4 linked regions of the Drosophila melanogaster genome follow. The protein of the gene in region 3 interacts with the protein of the main gene of each other region in a pairwise test. Each region holds a gene or a part of one and is shown on either strand. Other genes may lie near its edges. The genes, in order: TwdlB, TwdlL, CG17219 and CG7139.

Region 1 (3,169 bases), on a different chromosome or scaffold from region 3:
AGACTTTGTTTTTATGGCTAATCAGGTTTCGATTGGGCATAAATCTTCATTGCCTTCGTATGTGGGTTGCACTTGAGATTCCTTTCTAATTGTACGTGACACACGACGGGCCTCGGAAACCAGGTCATCTAACAGTTGTTGGCATCTTCGCGACCTTGAGCTGTCGTCGGGAAAGAACCAGTTCCTCGTTGGCCGGGAGTCCGGTATTAATGCTTCCCGCTGGCCAAGTGGGTGGATCTAATCTTGTAGTCAATTAATTTGGCGGCATGCGAGTTGGCTATGTCAGATAATTAGTCCATTGATTTGTATGGAAAGTCTAGGTGAATATGATTCGACGAGGGCTTAAACTCATAAAGGAAACCTGCTCCGAACTGCCTTTCCTGATCTTGATGTCGTCAATTCGAGATATTTATAGTTTGAAGGGCACTTTTTATACTTAACCCATCCGCAAACAATCAAGCCAAACAAGGCGGACTTAATGCACCATTAGCTACTATGGCCAAGCCGCAATAAAAATCTCACTCTATAAAACACATAAGGTAGACCTTTGTTTAAATTTTCGTATTTAAATTTCAAATTTATTGGTGTAATTATGCATTAGTCAACAACGTGTAACAGGAAGAATGAGTTCTTCAGTCGAGATTTGCTTAAGTTAATGGAGTCCAAGATGTAGCCTTCCTAGAAACGCAGACGACGGAACACAGAAGTGGGCAGGTAGGCGTTGTCGGGGATCTGGGCGTTAGCCTTCTGGACGGGTCCAGCGGAGGCGAAGTTCAGGGCGGGTGCAACACCACCATCATGAGCCTGAGAGGATCCTCCCAGCTGGTCGTACTGACCCTGGATGGCGCGCTGGGCGTTGGCAGCATCCTCGGGAGTGCGGTACTTGACGAAGTGCACCTCGGGCTTGTTGTTGTTGTTGTTGCGGATGGCGTTCAGTTTCTGGGCAAGATCTCCAATATCAGCCTGCTTGTTCAGGACATAGATGGCGGTCTCCTGCTGGGCAGCCTGCTTGGCGAGGGCCAGGGCAGCGTTCTCCAGACCACGGTTCTCGGGTCCCTTGATGAAGACAACGCGCAGTCCCTTGTTTACGGATCCAGCAACACGCTCCAGTTCTTGTGGCTCATCGAAGTCCTGCTCGTTGGCGGAGTAGGTGAAGAATTCCTTCTGGAGCTCAGCAGCGGGAGCGGGGGCGTTGTAGGAGACTGGAGCGGCCAGAGCGTCGCCACCTCCTAGACCACCGAGTCCACCAAGACCGCCAAGACCGGAATCGATGGAGCCACCACCGATGGAACCACCAAGGGATCCACCTCCGATGCTTCCTCCTCCGATAGAGCCACCACCAATGAGGCCTCCTCCAATAGAGCCTCCTCCAATAGAACCTCCTCCGATGGAGCCTCCTCCAATAGATCCACCACTGATAGAGCCGCTGCCAGGAGCGAAGGACAGTCCGGAGCTGGAGTGGCCAACGGGCTGGTAGTTGTAGCCGAGCTTATCGGCGCAGGTGACTGCCACCAAACACAGGACCTGGAGGCATGAAAAGAGAAGTGTTATCCTGGCGTATAATCCTTTGAATCCTTAACCGCGCTACTTACAATGAATGCGCGCATCTTAAGCAGATTGCTGGTTCTTTTGCTTTGAGGTATGAGTTGCTTGTGTCTCTGGCTAGGAGCGATCTTTATTATTTATACAAATCCATCTTGGAGGCTGATAAAGACAAAGATACCGCCGCGGCGTCTGCTGCACGGAGATTTCTTTGAAGCCACTGTGTTTTGCCGCCTACAAAGGTTTTTGCTTCCTCTGTTTTTTTTAATGTTCGGTGTGGAATTTTTTGGTTGCGTTTCAATGGGCAGAGTCTGGCCGTCGTGGGTTATTCAAATATTTCGAGTTTCGTCCAATAGTTTACAAGAATTCATATTGAATTATAAAATTAATATGTCGCGAGCACGTCGGAATGAGTTTAACATGCAGATGGGTCATAATTAGGTACGAGTATTATATAAAATACATTTTTTTGACAAATTCTTCGGCAAGGCTAAAAGCTTGTTTTATGTAGGACATCTGCACTTGGTTTTTCCGACTGAATGACAATCGTTTAGTCATTATAATCGTTTTCGACACATCTGTTTAGTTCTGATTTATGGACATGATGCAAGCGCTAAATTTAGCAAGTCGTCTAATGAGATGTTTGAAATGCCGCCCCCAGTTCATTGATTCTTTATTTTCGCATATATTACTAATGAAATAAAAAATTTAACTTGAGAGTGGTGAAAACGATATGTTTATATTTAATTTAACTTTTTTGTCGTAAAAACATTTTGCCTACATTTAAAATATGCGGAAATATTTTATTTTATTCTTTTCCCAGTACTTCGTAGGATAATATTTTGGTTATGACAAATATTAAACGTCAAGGTCATCGGGAAGCTGCCTTGGGTAATATAGCTTACCAAATTCTTAATGAGTTTTAAAGGTCTTTTGCTTTGTATTAAGTTAATAGCGTTGCACCTTTTTAAGAATAAATTCAAATTAAAAGTCATTACCAAACTTTTTGTGCAATAAAAACAGGTCGAAAAATCTCACCAAAGACTGAAATAATTTTCTAAAAGCCCAACTTGTAACTCCACTCATGTTGTCATCGGAAGGTATACACTATTGTTTACTACACCACCATCCAATATAAAATATCATAGAATGTTTGTATTCAGATTTTTGTATATTATTTATCAATAGATTTCAACAATAAGATTTAACAAGAACAGTCAACGCCTTCATCTCGAAGTCGTTAAAATATTTACAAACGACGACGGAAGATGGAAGTGGGCAGGTAAGCGTTCTCAGGGATCTGAGCATTAGCCTTCTGGACGGGACCAGCGGAGGCGAAGTTCAGGGCGGGTGCCACACCACCGTTGTGGGCCTGAGAGGATCCTCCCAATTGGTCGTACTGCGACTGGATGGCGCGCTGGGCGTTGGCAGCATCCTCGGGAGTGCGGTACTTGACGAAGTGCACCTCGGGCTTGTTGTTATTGTTGTTGCGGATGGCGTTCAGTTTCTGGGCAAGATCTCCAATATCGGCCTGCTTGTTCAGGACATAGATGGCGGTCTCCTGCTGGGCAGCCTGCTTGGCGAGGGCTAGGGCAGCGTTCTCCAGACCACGGTTCTCGGGTCCCTT
Region 2 (3,509 bases), on a different chromosome or scaffold from region 3:
TAACGTTAAAACCCTTCACTTTCATTCGCTTAGCTTAAGATGACAAAACACTATCAAACGATTATTTTGTATGGATTACAGAAAAGTATCAGCAGAACTTTTGATGATGATATCCTTCTATCCAAACACAGCATTTTTCATATTGTTTGATTGCTTGTACGTTCTTCTTCTCCGTTTAAATGAGATTTTAAACTGACTGGACGCAAATATTCTGGCTCTTATATACGGGACTTGTATGGAATTCCCAGACTATTTAAAACAGGTTTGCCCAGAGTTCAAAGCAAGCTTCCGACATTCTTTTTGACTTTGAACCTCAAACTAAAAAGTCACTTCAAATTCTAGACCCACTTTCGATAGCAAAAAAGGCGACAAACAGAAAGCAACAACAAACCATTAACTATCAATGGAGTTCGCATAGATTAAGATTTTATCGTTTCGTAGGCGGAACTCAAAGAATGCATCACATTGTGTTCGACTTTAATGACCATCAGAACATTTTTGGACGGGCTCTGACTTTTTTTTTGGAAACGGGTTTGATAGTTTTGCAGCATTTTCCCCAATCGAATTCCGGGCAGTTTTGCCCCGGTCAAGAATAAATCGCGGCGCCATGAACCGGTCGAGAATTTGGCTTTTGCAATTGGGCAGAAAGTCGGGGGTCGCCGACTGGATGTATTGGCGAGAATTTTAGGATAGTTTGCATAATCATTTCATAAGCGCACCGCTTTGCATAAAAAACTAGTTGAGTTATGTAGCAACCCGACGGGAATGGTGTCGGTTATAGTTCTAAGTCGGTTCTAACTACGCCAGATGGGTATATAAGCTGCTCACCTCAGTCTCAGGATTCAGTCTTGGCCTTTGCCTGTTAAGCACACCCAGCCTACAAAACCAAACCTTCACCATGCGTTTCCTCATCGCTTTCTGCCTGATTGGTGCCGCATGCGCCCAGTACAACTACGGAGCGGGATTTACCGGAGCCGCCTCCGATAATGTTCCCAGTTACTCCGGAAGCAGTGTTGGCGACTCCTACGATGGTGCTGCCAGCAGCCCGGACTACTCGGTCTCCAGCGAACTGAACAAGGAGTACTACACCTTCGAGGCTGACGAGAGCCAGTTCGAGGATCCTCTGGCCGCCCAGAAGATCGCCGGCTCCGTGAACAAGGGACTCCGCGTGGTCTTCATCAAGGGACCCGAAAACCGTGGCCTGGAGAACGCTGCTCTGGCCCTCGCCAAGCAGGCTGCCGAGCAGAGGACCGCCATCTATGTCTTGAACAAGCAGACCGACATTGGAGATCTGGCCCAGAAATTCAATGCCGCCCGCCAGAACTCCAACCAGCGTCCTGAGGTGCACTTCGTCAAGTACAGGACTCCCGAGGATGCGGCCAATGCCCAGCGTGCCATCCAGTCGCAGTACGATAACCTGGGAGGATCCAGCCAGTCCATCAACGGAGGAGTTGCCAACGCCATCAACTTCGCCTCCGCTGCCCCCGTGGTTCCCGCTCGTCGTGGCCCCAACTACTCCCCACCAGCCGCCGCCACGAGCAACTCCTACCTGCCCGCCAACATCCTGCGTCGCCTGCGCATCCGTTAAGGACCGAACGAAAACCGACAGTTGTTAAATGTGTTGTATAAATGTAATTGAATAAAAAACGAAAATCGATAAAAACAAATACGCTTAGATTTATATATCTATTTTTAATCTAGATCTTCGAAGTTTCTGACTTTGTCATCGGCCATTGCAATTTGTTTGTTTTTTAATAGCTTTTCCTTATAATAACATTTATGCAAAGCTGAATTGCTCTGCGAGCCCGAACAAAAGCCGTTCGCTGCCTACTTTGTAGGCGGACAAAACATTTAGCAGCATCAGCGCTTTGTCTTCGAAAAACTGCGCCGCCAGCTTCGAAGTTGGGTTAGTATATATAGTTACCGCCGCCGTGGTCATAGGCAGAAGCAATTTGTGCTCCGAACCAAGAGAACCTCAAACCCAAAACTAAAGATGCGCGCCTTCATCGTAAGTGGTGTAGCCAGGACTTAAGACGAATTCACAACTAACGGATAACCCTTGAATCCTGTAGGTAATGTGCCTGGTGGCAGTCGCCTGCGCCGATAAGCTCGGCTACAACTACCAGCCCGTGGGACACTCCAGCTCCGGACTGTCCTTTGCTCCTGGAAGTGGCAGCATTGGAGGTGGATCCATTGGAGGTGGTTCGATTGGAGGAGGCTCCATTGGAGGAGGATCCATTGGAGGAGGCCTCATTGGTGGTGGCTCTATCGGAGGCGGTTCCATTGGAGGTGGTTCCCTTGGTGGTTCCATCGGTGGTGGCTCTATTGATTCCGGTCTTGGCGGTCTTGGTGGACTCGGTGGTCTAGGAGGTGGCGACGCTCTGGCCGCTCCAGTCTCCTACAACGCCCCCGCTCCCGCTGCTGAGCTCCAGAAGGAGTTCTTCACCTACTCCGCCAACGAGCAGGACTTCGATGAGCCACAAGAACTGGAGCGTGTTGCTGGATCCGTAAACAAGGGACTGCGCGTTGTCTTCATCAAGGGACCCGAGAACCGTGGTCTGGAGAACGCTGCCCTAGCCCTCGCCAAGCAGGCTGCCCAGCAGGAGACCGCCATCTATGTCCTGAACAAGCAGGCCGATATTGGAGATCTTGCCCAGAAACTGAACGCCATCCGCAACAACAATAACAACAAGCCCGAGGTGCACTTCGTCAAGTACCGCACTCCCGAGGATGCTGCCAACGCCCAGCGCGCCATCCAGTCGCAGTACGACCAATTGGGAGGATCCTCTCAGGCCCACAACGGTGGTGTGGCACCCGCCCTGAACTTCGCCTCCGCTGGTCCCGTCCAGAAGGCTAATGCTCAGATCCCTGAGAACGCTTACCTGCCCACTTCCATCTTCCGTCGTCGTTTGTAAATATTTTAACGACTTCGAGATGAAGGCGTTGACTGTTCTTGTTAAATCTTATTGTTGAAATCTATTGATAAATAATATACAAAAATCTGAATACAAACATTCTATGATATTTTATATTGGATGGTGGTGTAGTAAACAATAGTGTATACCTTCCGATGACAACATGAGTGGAGTTACAAGTTGGGCTTTTAGAAAATTATTTCAGTCTTTGGTGAGATTTTTCGACCTGTTTTTATTGCACAAAAAGTTTGGTAATGACTTTTAATTTGAATTTATTCTTAAAAAGGTGCAACGCTATTAACTTAATACAAAGCAAAAGACCTTTAAAACTCATTAAGAATTTGGTAAGCTATATTACCCAAGGCAGCTTCCCGATGACCTTGACGTTTAATATTTGTCATAACCAAAATATTATCCTACGAAGTACTGGGAAAAGAATAAAATAAAATATTTCCGCATATTTTAAATGTAGGCAAAATGTTTTTACGACAAAAAAGTTAAATTAAATATAAACATATCGTTTTCACCACTCTCAAGTTAAATTTTTTATTTCATTAGTAATATATGCGAAAATAAAGAATCAATGAACTGGGG
Region 3 (3,508 bases):
GAGCAACGGCTGCGGGCGAGATTCGCTTGGCTCCTCCGCGCCATGGCAAGCGCAGTCTATCCTGGAAGGCGATGAGCATGCCGTCGATGTTCCTTCGATCAATGGCTCGGCAGGTGACAAGTCTGTGGTAAATTTAATTTTAATTGTAGACGGCCTTTCATTTATGTATCCTACCTTGTGCAAACTAAGTCGAAGTCCACGCAGTTACAACAGCATCCTAGGATGTGGGATCGCTCTCGACTGTCCTCAGCCACGTACTCGCAGCAGCAGAGACTCCCGTTCTCCTTACTCTTGGACTCCTCAGCCTCTGATCTCCAGGCTGCAGAAAGAAAATTGGAGGTGCCGGCTGTCATCAAGAACATCGATTTGGACAGGAAATGGCGCGGCGAACGTTTTTTAATGAGTTCCGAGCAGCGTGTACGGAAACAGTTTAGATTAGATTAGTGCACGCCCTACTGGCCGAGTGGAGAAATGTTTCAAAAGTAATTATCAGATCCGGGTGGGTCCATTTTAATTGTTTTATTGGAGTACAACGAATTTGCTTACAATTTCTCCGGAATAACGACAACTACAACAACACAGCTGACGAACGTCCCTCCCTTACAGGGTGCCCCGTGTAAAGTGGGCTGCCAACTTGTTTTATGCTACCGCTATGTTTTGAACTTAGATCTCTTATCATTATTACAAAGTTTAAGAATTGTGTTATAAATAATTCCAAAATATATTTTATTTAAATTTCAATTGCAAGATTCCTCTTTTTAAGTTTTCGTCTGCCTGCCAAACACTCTCACTTTGGAAAACATTTCCCAGCCTAATGTTCTCTGAAAACTGTTCCAGGCCGCCACCAACTCCAAAATAATGAGATTTTGCGGCAACCAAAATGACTCCATCGGATTTTAAGCGACCAGCAAAGGTATCCAAGAGCTTTTGCTGATTTGCAATATTGTATATAGTCTCAGAGGTAAGTATTAGATCGTATTTCGCCACATCCCTTGATAGTTCAGCAAAATGAGACCAATCTCCAGAATATAAGGTTGTACTGTTGTCTAAAAATTTCAGCTTTTCATCTTCAGATAAAGAGTCGTCCAAATTTAGCAGGATATTTGGATATGTTATGTATTCCAGCACATCTTTGTTCTGAAAATATATGATTGCAACCAAACTATTTCAAGACTTATTGTTTGCTTACGTAGTCCTGAAAATCCACCCGTGCGCCGTGTTTCATAGCATATATACCCAGCAATCCGCAGCCACATCCCAAATCTAGGACTCTTTTCTCCTTCCAGAATGAGTCCTCGTACTTTTCGGATAGATATAGTAGAAGATCTTCAGTGCATTCCCATATTTTAGCACCGCCCTCGTAGACACCGGAAATCAGATCTGAATGATTTTCCTCAGACTTCCTGAGATCCAGGTTTACCAAGTGGGATTGCTCCTTTAAATCCTCCAGCAGAAACCCGGCCACAAGATGTTTTATCGTCATCTTTCCCACCTCCATTTCCTTGGCGTTAAGCTCATAGAAATCCATTGCCGAAATTAGGTTATCCAGTGGTTGTACTTTCTCCGAATTGTACCAATCTATATCCTTTGTGATACCCGACTCACGTTCTTCTGAATTTTCCTGCTTGCTAAAAATATCATTTTTAACGGCCTCTGGATCTTCCGAGGATTCCGCCTTCACATCAAAATTAAATTTGAACATGCTTAGAAGGTAGGGTGTTGAACTGTTTTGATTTTAGCAGATACTGCTTGTTAAATATCGTACTGAAATGGACAAATTAGCATTGTTAAACTGGTAATCTATGAAATATTTTAATATTTACCTCCTTAAATCAGCTGTCGGCAAAAACCACGCTTTTCGTACTAAGATCGCCCTGTCCTTTGCGTTGCCAGCTTGATTTAGGGTCTCGCATTTTCATATCGAATATATCGATATGTCTCGGTGGTACAAAAATATCTTGTCGCGCATCACTAGAATTGTGGTTTATAAAAAAATTTCGGCTCGGTTTGGGTTTTTAAAGATTAATTTAATTTATGGCGGACCAGTTGAACAACGAGGTGAGTTTGCTGCGAAACCCAATCGGCAAGACATCTATTGAATGCCAATCCTTCCAGCCCGGCCAACCCACGCCGCTCATGTCCATTCGCTTCGACCAGCAGCAGCACGAAAGTGCGGCGGCCAATGGAAATGAGAACGGCAATGGTAATGCCAATGGCGACGGCGATGCCTCCGAAGATGCTGTTGATGCCGAAAAAACGCCCGGAGAACTGGTCCTGCCCAAGGCCTTGGAGGACGTTCTGGCTTTGAAGGATCAAAGGGCAGCCGAGTTCACGGTGGACGCCGATTCGCAGGGTGGCAGTGGGGGTGCTACCCAGGACGGCGACGAAGCGGATGTGGGCGAGGACAGCGAGGAGGATGCGGATAACCAGGTGAACGGGAGTGCCAGCCAAAAGACCGGCAAGCAGAGCAAGGCGGAGCGTAACAAAAAGAAGAAGAAGCGAAAGAAGCAGAACAGGAAGATACGCCACCAGATTGAGTTCGCACGGCAGCAGCAGTTGGCCCAAGCGGAGGAGAACGAACCGGAGGCCAAGGACTCGGAGACAAAAGCCCATGGCAGCGAGGACGAACAGGTTGCCGAAAAGGAAAAGAAGGACAAACGCAAAGAGAGTCGCAGCAAGCGCAGGAAGGATCGTAGTGATGAGAAAGATACGGACAAAAAGGCTGGCGAGGCCAATGATGAAAATGTGACCATTGAGTAAGTCATAGCAGCTCGTTCCGAGGAACCACACTAATAAACTCTTATCCCTTTCAGATATGTGCCCGAAAAGATAACCATTGCCGATTTGGCGCCAATGTACCGCCAGTTTTATCGTGTGTTCGAAATCTTCAAGCTGGAAAACAAACCAAAGCCTGTGGAGAAGGACAAATCTTCGCACGATTCTGAGTCCCATCCCAGGGACAAAAAGGCTACAGACAAACAGCTCGAGGACGAGGACGATGACGGCGATGATGACGAAGAGCGCAAGGAAGACAAGGAGAAGCTGTCCAAGCGGAAACTTAAGAAACTGACCCGTTTGAGTGTGGCAGAACTGAAACAACTGGTCTCTCGACCTGACGTAGTGGAGATGCACGATGTCACAGCGAGAGATCCCAAACTACTGGTTCAACTGAAAGCCTATAGGAACACAGTACAAGTGCCGCGGCATTGGTGCTTCAAGCGAAAATATCTGCAGGGCAAAAGGGGTATTGAGAAGCCTCCGTTCGATCTCCCCGCCTTCATCAAAAAGACGGGCATCATGGAGATGCGCGAATCGTTGCAGGAACGAGAGGACGCCAAGACACTCAAGGCCAAGATGCGTGAACGCGTCCGTCCCAAGATGGGCAAAATTGACATTGACTACCAGAAACTTCACGATGCCTTCTTCAAGTGGCAGACCAAGCCCCGCATGACCATTCATGGCGACCTCTACTACGAGGGCAAGGAGTTTGAGACACGCCTTAAGGAAA
Region 4 (7,086 bases), on a different chromosome or scaffold from region 3:
CAAAGCCATGGAGCCCTCGCTCAGACTGCCATCGATGTTCTAGAATAAGTTACCATTTACCTGAATGTATTGTTCACACCCAGCGGTCAGCAGGTGTACACCCAGATGTGTATCCTCGGCTGATCCTTCAGTTTACCTAAGCTTCGTGTCACGCGTTTTCCGATGTCAGGCTAAAAGATTTTGTAGTGGTAAATAAAGATTGTCGTCTTTCCATGTTTCAAACATTAAACCAAGGTTATGCTCTTCCCTGCCGGGCAGATGGTCCAGGTAGGCAGAAGGAAGGTTTATATTGCTCATAGAACAGACTGATCAGCGGTACCTAGAACTAAACCAACCACTATTGTAAACACTGGAAAGTTCGATGGCTAATTGACGGATCTAGGCATACATTGCTACTACGTAATTTGTAGTACAAATTGATTTTCGAAGCCAGTATGTTTACAACATATTGTAGAATGTTCGATGTAACAGTTTGAAAAATAAAATATCGTACTACGATGTTCGTTTAAAAACTTGTCTGAATAATATCCTTCTCACGTTTCGATTTATTTATAAAGAAAATGTCAATATTTGCTTATTAATCTGAAATGTAATGGTAATTTTTGGACCTCGTGTACCTTAGGACTACTATTTTTACACTAATCCTATTGTACCTAGGTAGTACATTGAGTAAACTAGTATAAAAATAAGTAATTCTGTGATTAGGTATATTATTGGAAGATACTAAATCACTACTTTCCTGAGTCGCATTGCGAATTCGCGTCGTACACAAACTCTACGCTGGAAGCATTATTCAAACTTAAAAATAATTGGGACGAGCATTGAAAGTAATATAGAGTAATAAAATCGGGAATGTTTCATAGGTTATAGAACACATTCGAAAGTAAAACAGCGACCAGGACAGGGGAAAATGATTACTTAACTTTACAATTTTGTAGGCAATTACAAAAGTTAAATAACACTTGCTTTTTTTCTATATGGCAGTGTGAAACGCATTTTGTCCAGCAAGTCCTGTCGTGCGATTCGCATCCAATCAGAAGTTCTTTGAATGACGCGATGCTGAAAACACCTTGACGCGCAGCAACCCTGGATTAACTTCTTGCCATCTGAAATAGGTTGGTGAATAATTAGACGACTTTTAACGAAATATGCCCCTTACTAACCGCAAACGGCGTTCGCCCAGCCTGGCCTTCACCCTGTTCTTAATGGTGGACACTCCGTTTGCGCTGTGAAGACCACGGCCCGTGATAATGAATACGTGCTTGTACACGCGGGTGGTGTTGCGCAGCACAGTTATGTGGCGGTCAAGGAACAAGTCCAGGCAACTGATCGCCTCTACCGTGTGTAGGTAATGCAGGTCTAGCAGGTCCGGGTTGTTCTGGGTGTGCCGATGCACCTCCATTATGCAATTGGCCGCCCTCTGGTTGAATACGTCGATCTTCTGCTTGTGTAACTTGGCTATCTCCGAGTAGTATAACGCCACGCTACTATTGCCGCGCTGTACCGCCTGTTTGGCCTTTAGATAGCACTCTGCTTTAAGTTGGGAGTGATGGGCGGCCATGTTTCGCGTCTCTTCAAAGTCGCGAAGAGCGGCGCACTTGACCTCCTCTTGCAGTTGGGGCGACCGGCCAGAGGCGTACGAACTGGAGCTGGAGCGCTGGCCTTGGCCGGAGGAGTTATGTTGCTTTTGTTGCTGCTGCTGCCGCCGCTCTTCCAGCGCCATTTGCTCACTAAGCTTTTCGCCCTCGCGAAGGGCCTTATCATAGAGTTCCGCTTTGCTCAGCATACTCTTAACGTTGCTGTCCAAGACCTCGACTGTTTGAACGTAATTGCTGCCGGTTGCGGCAAAGACCTCAAGCACAGTGTCGGTAGGAACGTCCGGGAACGTCTCGCACAGCTTCATCTTGGTTAGGTGGGTAGCTATATCGGTGGGCGTTTGTTTGCGAGCGGTCAACTCGGCTGCCTTCTTGGCGGCCAGCTGCTCGCTATTGTATATGCTCCAGGCCAACTCCATATCCAAAAGCTCAGCCACGTTGCTCGGAGACTCGCTGCAATCGGCGTAACCTGGATGCTTGAGCAGGCGGGCGAACTGCTCGTCATCGCGCATTGTCTGCTGGCGTATCTCCTCTAGCTGGTTAAACACAGCTTCCATCCATAACATGTAAAGCTGCTTGGCTAGCTGACGCGGCATAAATATTTTTGTTGCGGTGGGAAGCTCCTGTTCCGGCGGCAACAACTCGTCCTCCGTGTGGAACTGAGCGCGCAGCTGCTCAATTAAAGTGCCGCCCAAATCAATTTCCAGCAGAGTATTTTCTTCAGGGTCCTCCTCCTCCTCCTGCTCTTCAAGCTCTGGTTCCTCGGGTGCTTCCAGTAGCTTAGGCACTGTAGGTTGATCCAGGATTCCATTGCGAATATCGCGAATTTTACGGGTGTGCTCCGAGTATTGTTCGTCGCCTAAAAATCAATAATCATTAGTTATTATTAGTTATTTAATATTAGTTAGCATCAGATATCGAACTCGAATCTCTAACATAATATAATGGAAATACATTAAATTCATTAGTGCCGTGAGTGTTAACGCAATATAAATAATAAGTTTATTTTTAATTGACTCCTATTAGAACAATATCTTACCTAACACAAAGCAATTCTGGATTTTCAGTTGCAACTCTTTGTTGGTGGGGGCCGATGCTCGTTTGTTGCGCGGTTGACGTTGCGGCTTGGATTCGGTCTTCGATACTGGTAAAGTTGGTGAGGCGCAGATGGGAGTTGAAATCGGAGATTCCTGGGCTTCAACCGCCTTGTCGCAGTCGCATTGAAACTGCGCCGCCTCCTCGCTATCGATAGTTTCTTCAAATCCGATTTGATCCGAACCAGTGGCCGCGTTGAGCTCGTCCTCCTTTAATAGAATATCAACGGCCCAATCCACGTCGGCCTGGCACTTTACAAACAGATCCCAGAGGCCGGCCAGCTGTTTGTTGGGATACATCTGGCGCAGGTGTGCAAACCCTTTCGGTTCATTTGGGCAGTCTAGGCTGTGCATCTCAAGAGGCTTTGCCCCGCTAGACTCCGCTTTCGACGGCACCACCTTTATTTGGTTCTCTTCGCGGAGCAGATCAATAATAGACAATTCGCTCTTTACGGGAGCTGCGGCACCCAAAGCATCCGGAATTTCCGGAACTGTCGCGTCGCCTGTGTCTACTGAGTTCACTGTTTGCGACCAGTATGAAGGCGCTCCGTGCTCGTAGGGCACCCACGTTTGGGCATTAGCATTCAGCTTAAAGGCATTTTCCGCTGGCGCTGGGACTGGGGCTTCCAGCAGCTTGCTCTCTTCAAAGCTCGTGATGATAGGCACGGCAGGAAGGGGCGGGTGATTGCGTAGTTGCGGCAGCTCCACAGAATACTTTGTCTCCTTCATTAACTGTCGCATAAAATATTCCGGTAGAGGATGTGAAAGATACAAACTATAGTAAGTGCCATTACTTAATAAGCTTCGGGGTAGAAAATAAAATACAACCAAGAACGTAATATACCAAAAATTTACCAATAAAAAATGAAAACGAGCTAGTTGCCTCAAATTGTATGTGTATGTGGCTAGACTGCCACATTCCGATCCTCGGATATTCGATACCCGTCTTCTCTCAGCTACAAAAAAGCGACTGTTTCTCAGATTGCCAGCGACTTTCTGACTGACCATGGTATGCCCTAAAAAATTAAGTAGCCAACAAAAAAGGCCTCTACTATGTTTCTGCAGGTGGTCTGAATGTTTTTCGCAATTCAAAGGAAGTTCGCCGGAAAAATAATGAAATGCAAAGAAGCAAAATTGAATTGGTCAGTGATAATGATTAAGAATAAATATATACCTCTTAAAGATTTTTTATCGAGCTTAGTTAAACGTTTTACACTCGCGTAACGGGTATACAATTACACATTTTTGGCTGACTCACAATGAGATTGCAGTTAACAATAAATCTCTATCTTTATATACATATGTATGTATATAGACGATTTAAAGTGCCTTCTTACCTGAATGAGCTCTCCCGCAGTCGTCCGCTCGAATCGCTCTAGCATGCGCTGAATATTCTCCCGTGGGACGTTGTGGACGTTTTTCTGGGCCAGTTTGCTGGCAGACTTGCACCAACTAGTATTGGGCTCGAGAAGCTCAATTACGTAACCGTGGCGCACGGCGAACTGGACATATGGCTGCATCTCCCAGACCATTGTATTGGTGTTATCCACGATGATGGGGCTCCAGCCGGAGGCGGCCTTATCGCGCACTCGCTGCTGGTTCCACTCGTGGGCAGCTGGCAGCAGAGTGGGGTTGAAGACATAGCCGCGGCGCGTCTTGAAGTAGTCGTCTGAGCTCAGGACAAAGTCGCGCACCTGGTGTCGATCGAGTAGATGCGCCTGGCGCAGCAGAGACTCTGCCAGTGTACTCTTACCGCTGCCTGAAGGGCCGCGCATTATGATCATCAGCTTATGGCCCGCCTGCGCCCGCTGGCAAATCGAGTTAAATTGTTTGTTGCTTTGGTTGCTGTTCAGATTGCTGGCGGGGCACATTCTAATGGAGCTTGGGGCTTCAGCAGTTGCATATTTCCTGTGAGTTCCACCGCTCTTGCTGCGACCGCAATTGTTATTGTCATTATTATTATTGTTGTTGTTGTTGTTGTTATTATTATTATTATTATTCTTATTATTATTATTGTTGTTGTTGATGTTGATGCGGTCCAACAAAAGCGCCAAATCCGCTGGTTCAGCTGAATGCGAGCTTCGCTCTGTCGACATGGCGTTTGTTTTCCTTTTGCTAGCTTGCCCTGTGAAAGCAGATCGTTTAGGGGGGATCGACCAACGTAATGCGCAGTAACCACAGACACCCCATCACCCAATTCGCATCTGAATCTCGGACTCACCAATATCTGACCAGACTGTAATCCCCCGATGTCGTAACTGCGCGTTGATGTCTCAATCTCTCTCATTCAATCGGTTGTCATGCAAGGATCAACCTGCGGGCTGCAACTTCGTTTGCTTGTTTCCAGAAATCGGGAAGCTATGCGTCGCATTACATCCGTTAATTCGCTGCATTGCAAGTTGGGAAAACCACGTCTGTGCGGAGGCTATCGATGGAGGAGGCTATGGTCACGCGTCATCGATAAGCAGCAGTGCTGGCGGCCAGCTTTTTTCAAGCCAAGCTATTGCTTCGGAATAAAATCGCTAAGTTTTTGGATTTTTTTTTTTAATACTATGAAAACATTATGTTAAGCACATAAATAAGATTCTTAATATGATTATGATAAATGTTATAAAATAACATGAAATTATAACGTCGTTATCACGTCCGTCCGTACGAAATCCAATATCTCGGGAACTTTGAGAGCTGTTAATTGGGTACTAAACACCCGAATTCTAGTTTCGCTTACGCAGCAAAATATAGTTTTTCTTCCGATAACATAGAAATGGAATTGTGAACAGAAGAAGAGAAGGGAGAATGCTATAGTCGAGTTACCCGACTATAAGATACTCAGTTAGTAGTGTGCGAATTTCATAATTTTTCTGGAATATCGATCGATATTGAGGAAATGTGTGTTATCTTTGTATGGAAAAACATCGATAAATAAATCGTGTTATCTGTATATTATTTCGCACCAAGGACATATTGTTGTTTAAAGAAAATAAATACGTCTTTCGTTTCTACATTTGCCATCATATTTTATTGAGATACCATTTACTCAGTTAGTAGTGTGCAAATTTCATTAATTTTAAGAACATTTTTTAAAATTGTTTAAAAGTGGGAATGTTTTGGGCGTTTTGCTGGTGTAAAGAGGGACGTGGCAAAAGTGTTTTTGATACAGATGGAAATTGACAAGACACACAATAAAACGAAAAAATTAAAATATAATGTATATAATAATATAATATATATAATAATATGTATAATATATATATATGTATATATATATAATATAAAAATAATAAAATATAATATAATAAAATATAATTATAATAGACAAATAAAAAATGAAAAAAATATCTTAACAATTTGGACAGTTTTGGGCGGCTTGTGGGCGTTTATTGGGCGTGTTAACATGGGTCAACAAACTTGCGCTGCGTCTATGTCTCTATAATCGCTATAATTATTCTTAACATTCTAGCTTTCAAAGTTCCTGACTGGACAGGGCACATATTCAAAAATAAGTGGAATAAATAGTCGATACCGAAAAGGGACATGGAAAAATATCTGTATTTCATATTTCGCACTGCTATTTCATTGAACACAGCTGTATATACATAACCAAATCCGATGCAGAGTATGAAAACAATATTTTAGTCCGAAGGTATAAAAATTTTATTTATTTGAATTTTTTTTTGTGTGTATGCCATATCGTATTCGATTCTATTTTAACCCTATTTCTTTAATGCTTCTTGATTAAAAAAAGCAAAACATGTTTCAGGATATACCTTTAGATTGAGGCGGAGCTGCTCTGTCTGAGTTGCCTTCTACGCGTTTTTAGCGGAGTCACCAGATATGGAATTTTTCAATTTTTCAAGCTTCCTTTAAAAGATTGTAGTCTTTGGAGGCGTCTAAAGGTGGGACTAATAAAGCGCCCGGCCAAAGCGCGCAAATACGAAGATATTTTGGAGCATGCATACATCAAGGCAGCAAGGGTATTTTTTGCTGCAGATGACCAAACTGGTCTGGAGTTATGAACCAAACCAGCAATGGTTGCTGGTGTTGCCTTCCCCCATTTCGGTGTAGTTGCCCAATTTAGAAGAGAGCGCAGATATGAAACCGCTGAGGACCAAACTGTTTTCAAAGCTGAATATGGTCCAGCTCGTGATCCCTGGGAAAGTGTTTTAGCGACTGTTTCCGTAGCAGAATTCACTGAAGCTTTGCTTGGTAGGGATTTCACAGCCACGTTCGCAGCCGATGCTAAGGACGAACTGGAAGTTGCAGAAGAACCTACGGCTCTTTGGCCTCGGATTACTGTTTTGGCCACGACTTTGGCAGCCGAAGAAAAGGGCGCGTTCAGAGTCCTAGGAGAAACTCGAGTATTTGCCCATGGCGCCAGTTTGCCGAGTCCCAGTATT

What was found.
Region 1: the proteins of CG17219 (region 3) and TwdlB interact in a two-hybrid assay, tested with the Drosophila melanogaster proteins (one large-scale study listed by BioGRID).
Region 2: the proteins of CG17219 (region 3) and TwdlL interact in a two-hybrid assay, tested with the Drosophila melanogaster proteins (one large-scale study listed by BioGRID).
Region 4: the proteins of CG17219 (region 3) and CG7139 interact in a two-hybrid assay, tested with the Drosophila melanogaster proteins (one large-scale study listed by BioGRID).

Annotation. Positions count from the first base shown.
Region 1 is NT_033777.3:26,621,890-26,625,058, forward strand, and holds TwdlB (TweedleB), read right to left. Parts: upstream 1,655-3,169; 5' UTR 1,608-1,654; coding exon 1,593-1,607; intron 1,525-1,592; coding exon 679-1,524; 3' UTR 562-678; downstream 1-561. Other genes in the region: TwdlL (TweedleL), read right to left, coding at 2,792-3,169.
Region 2 is NT_033777.3:26,624,087-26,627,595, reverse strand, and holds TwdlL (TweedleL), read left to right. Parts: upstream 1-1,943; 5' UTR 1,944-1,993; coding exon 1,994-2,008; exon of another isoform or gene 2,009-2,072; coding exon 2,073-2,915; 3' UTR 2,916-3,009; downstream 3,010-3,509. Other genes in the region: TwdlO (TweedleO), read left to right, coding at 899-1,588.
Region 3 is NT_033779.5:3,027,614-3,031,121, reverse strand, and holds CG17219 (uncharacterized protein), read right to left. Parts: upstream 1,870-3,508; 5' UTR 1,824-1,869; intron 1,765-1,823; 5' UTR 1,703-1,764; coding exon 1,190-1,702; intron 1,138-1,189; coding exon 727-1,137; 3' UTR 506-726; downstream 1-505. Other genes in the region: GABPI (beta4GalNAcTB pilot), read right to left, coding at 1-122, 175-362; Sf3b2 (splicing factor 3b subunit 2), read left to right, coding at 2,035-2,058, 2,116-2,756, 2,814-3,508.
Region 4 is NT_037436.4:22,066,742-22,073,827, forward strand, and holds CG7139 (uncharacterized protein), read right to left. Parts: upstream 5,108-7,086; 5' UTR 4,911-5,107; intron 4,815-4,910; 5' UTR 4,786-4,814; coding exon 4,027-4,785; intron 3,422-4,026; coding exon 2,635-3,421; intron 2,455-2,634; coding exon 1,164-2,454; intron 1,107-1,163; coding exon 1,034-1,106; 3' UTR 529-1,033; downstream 1-528. Other genes in the region: CG7133 (uncharacterized protein), read right to left, coding at 6,534-7,086.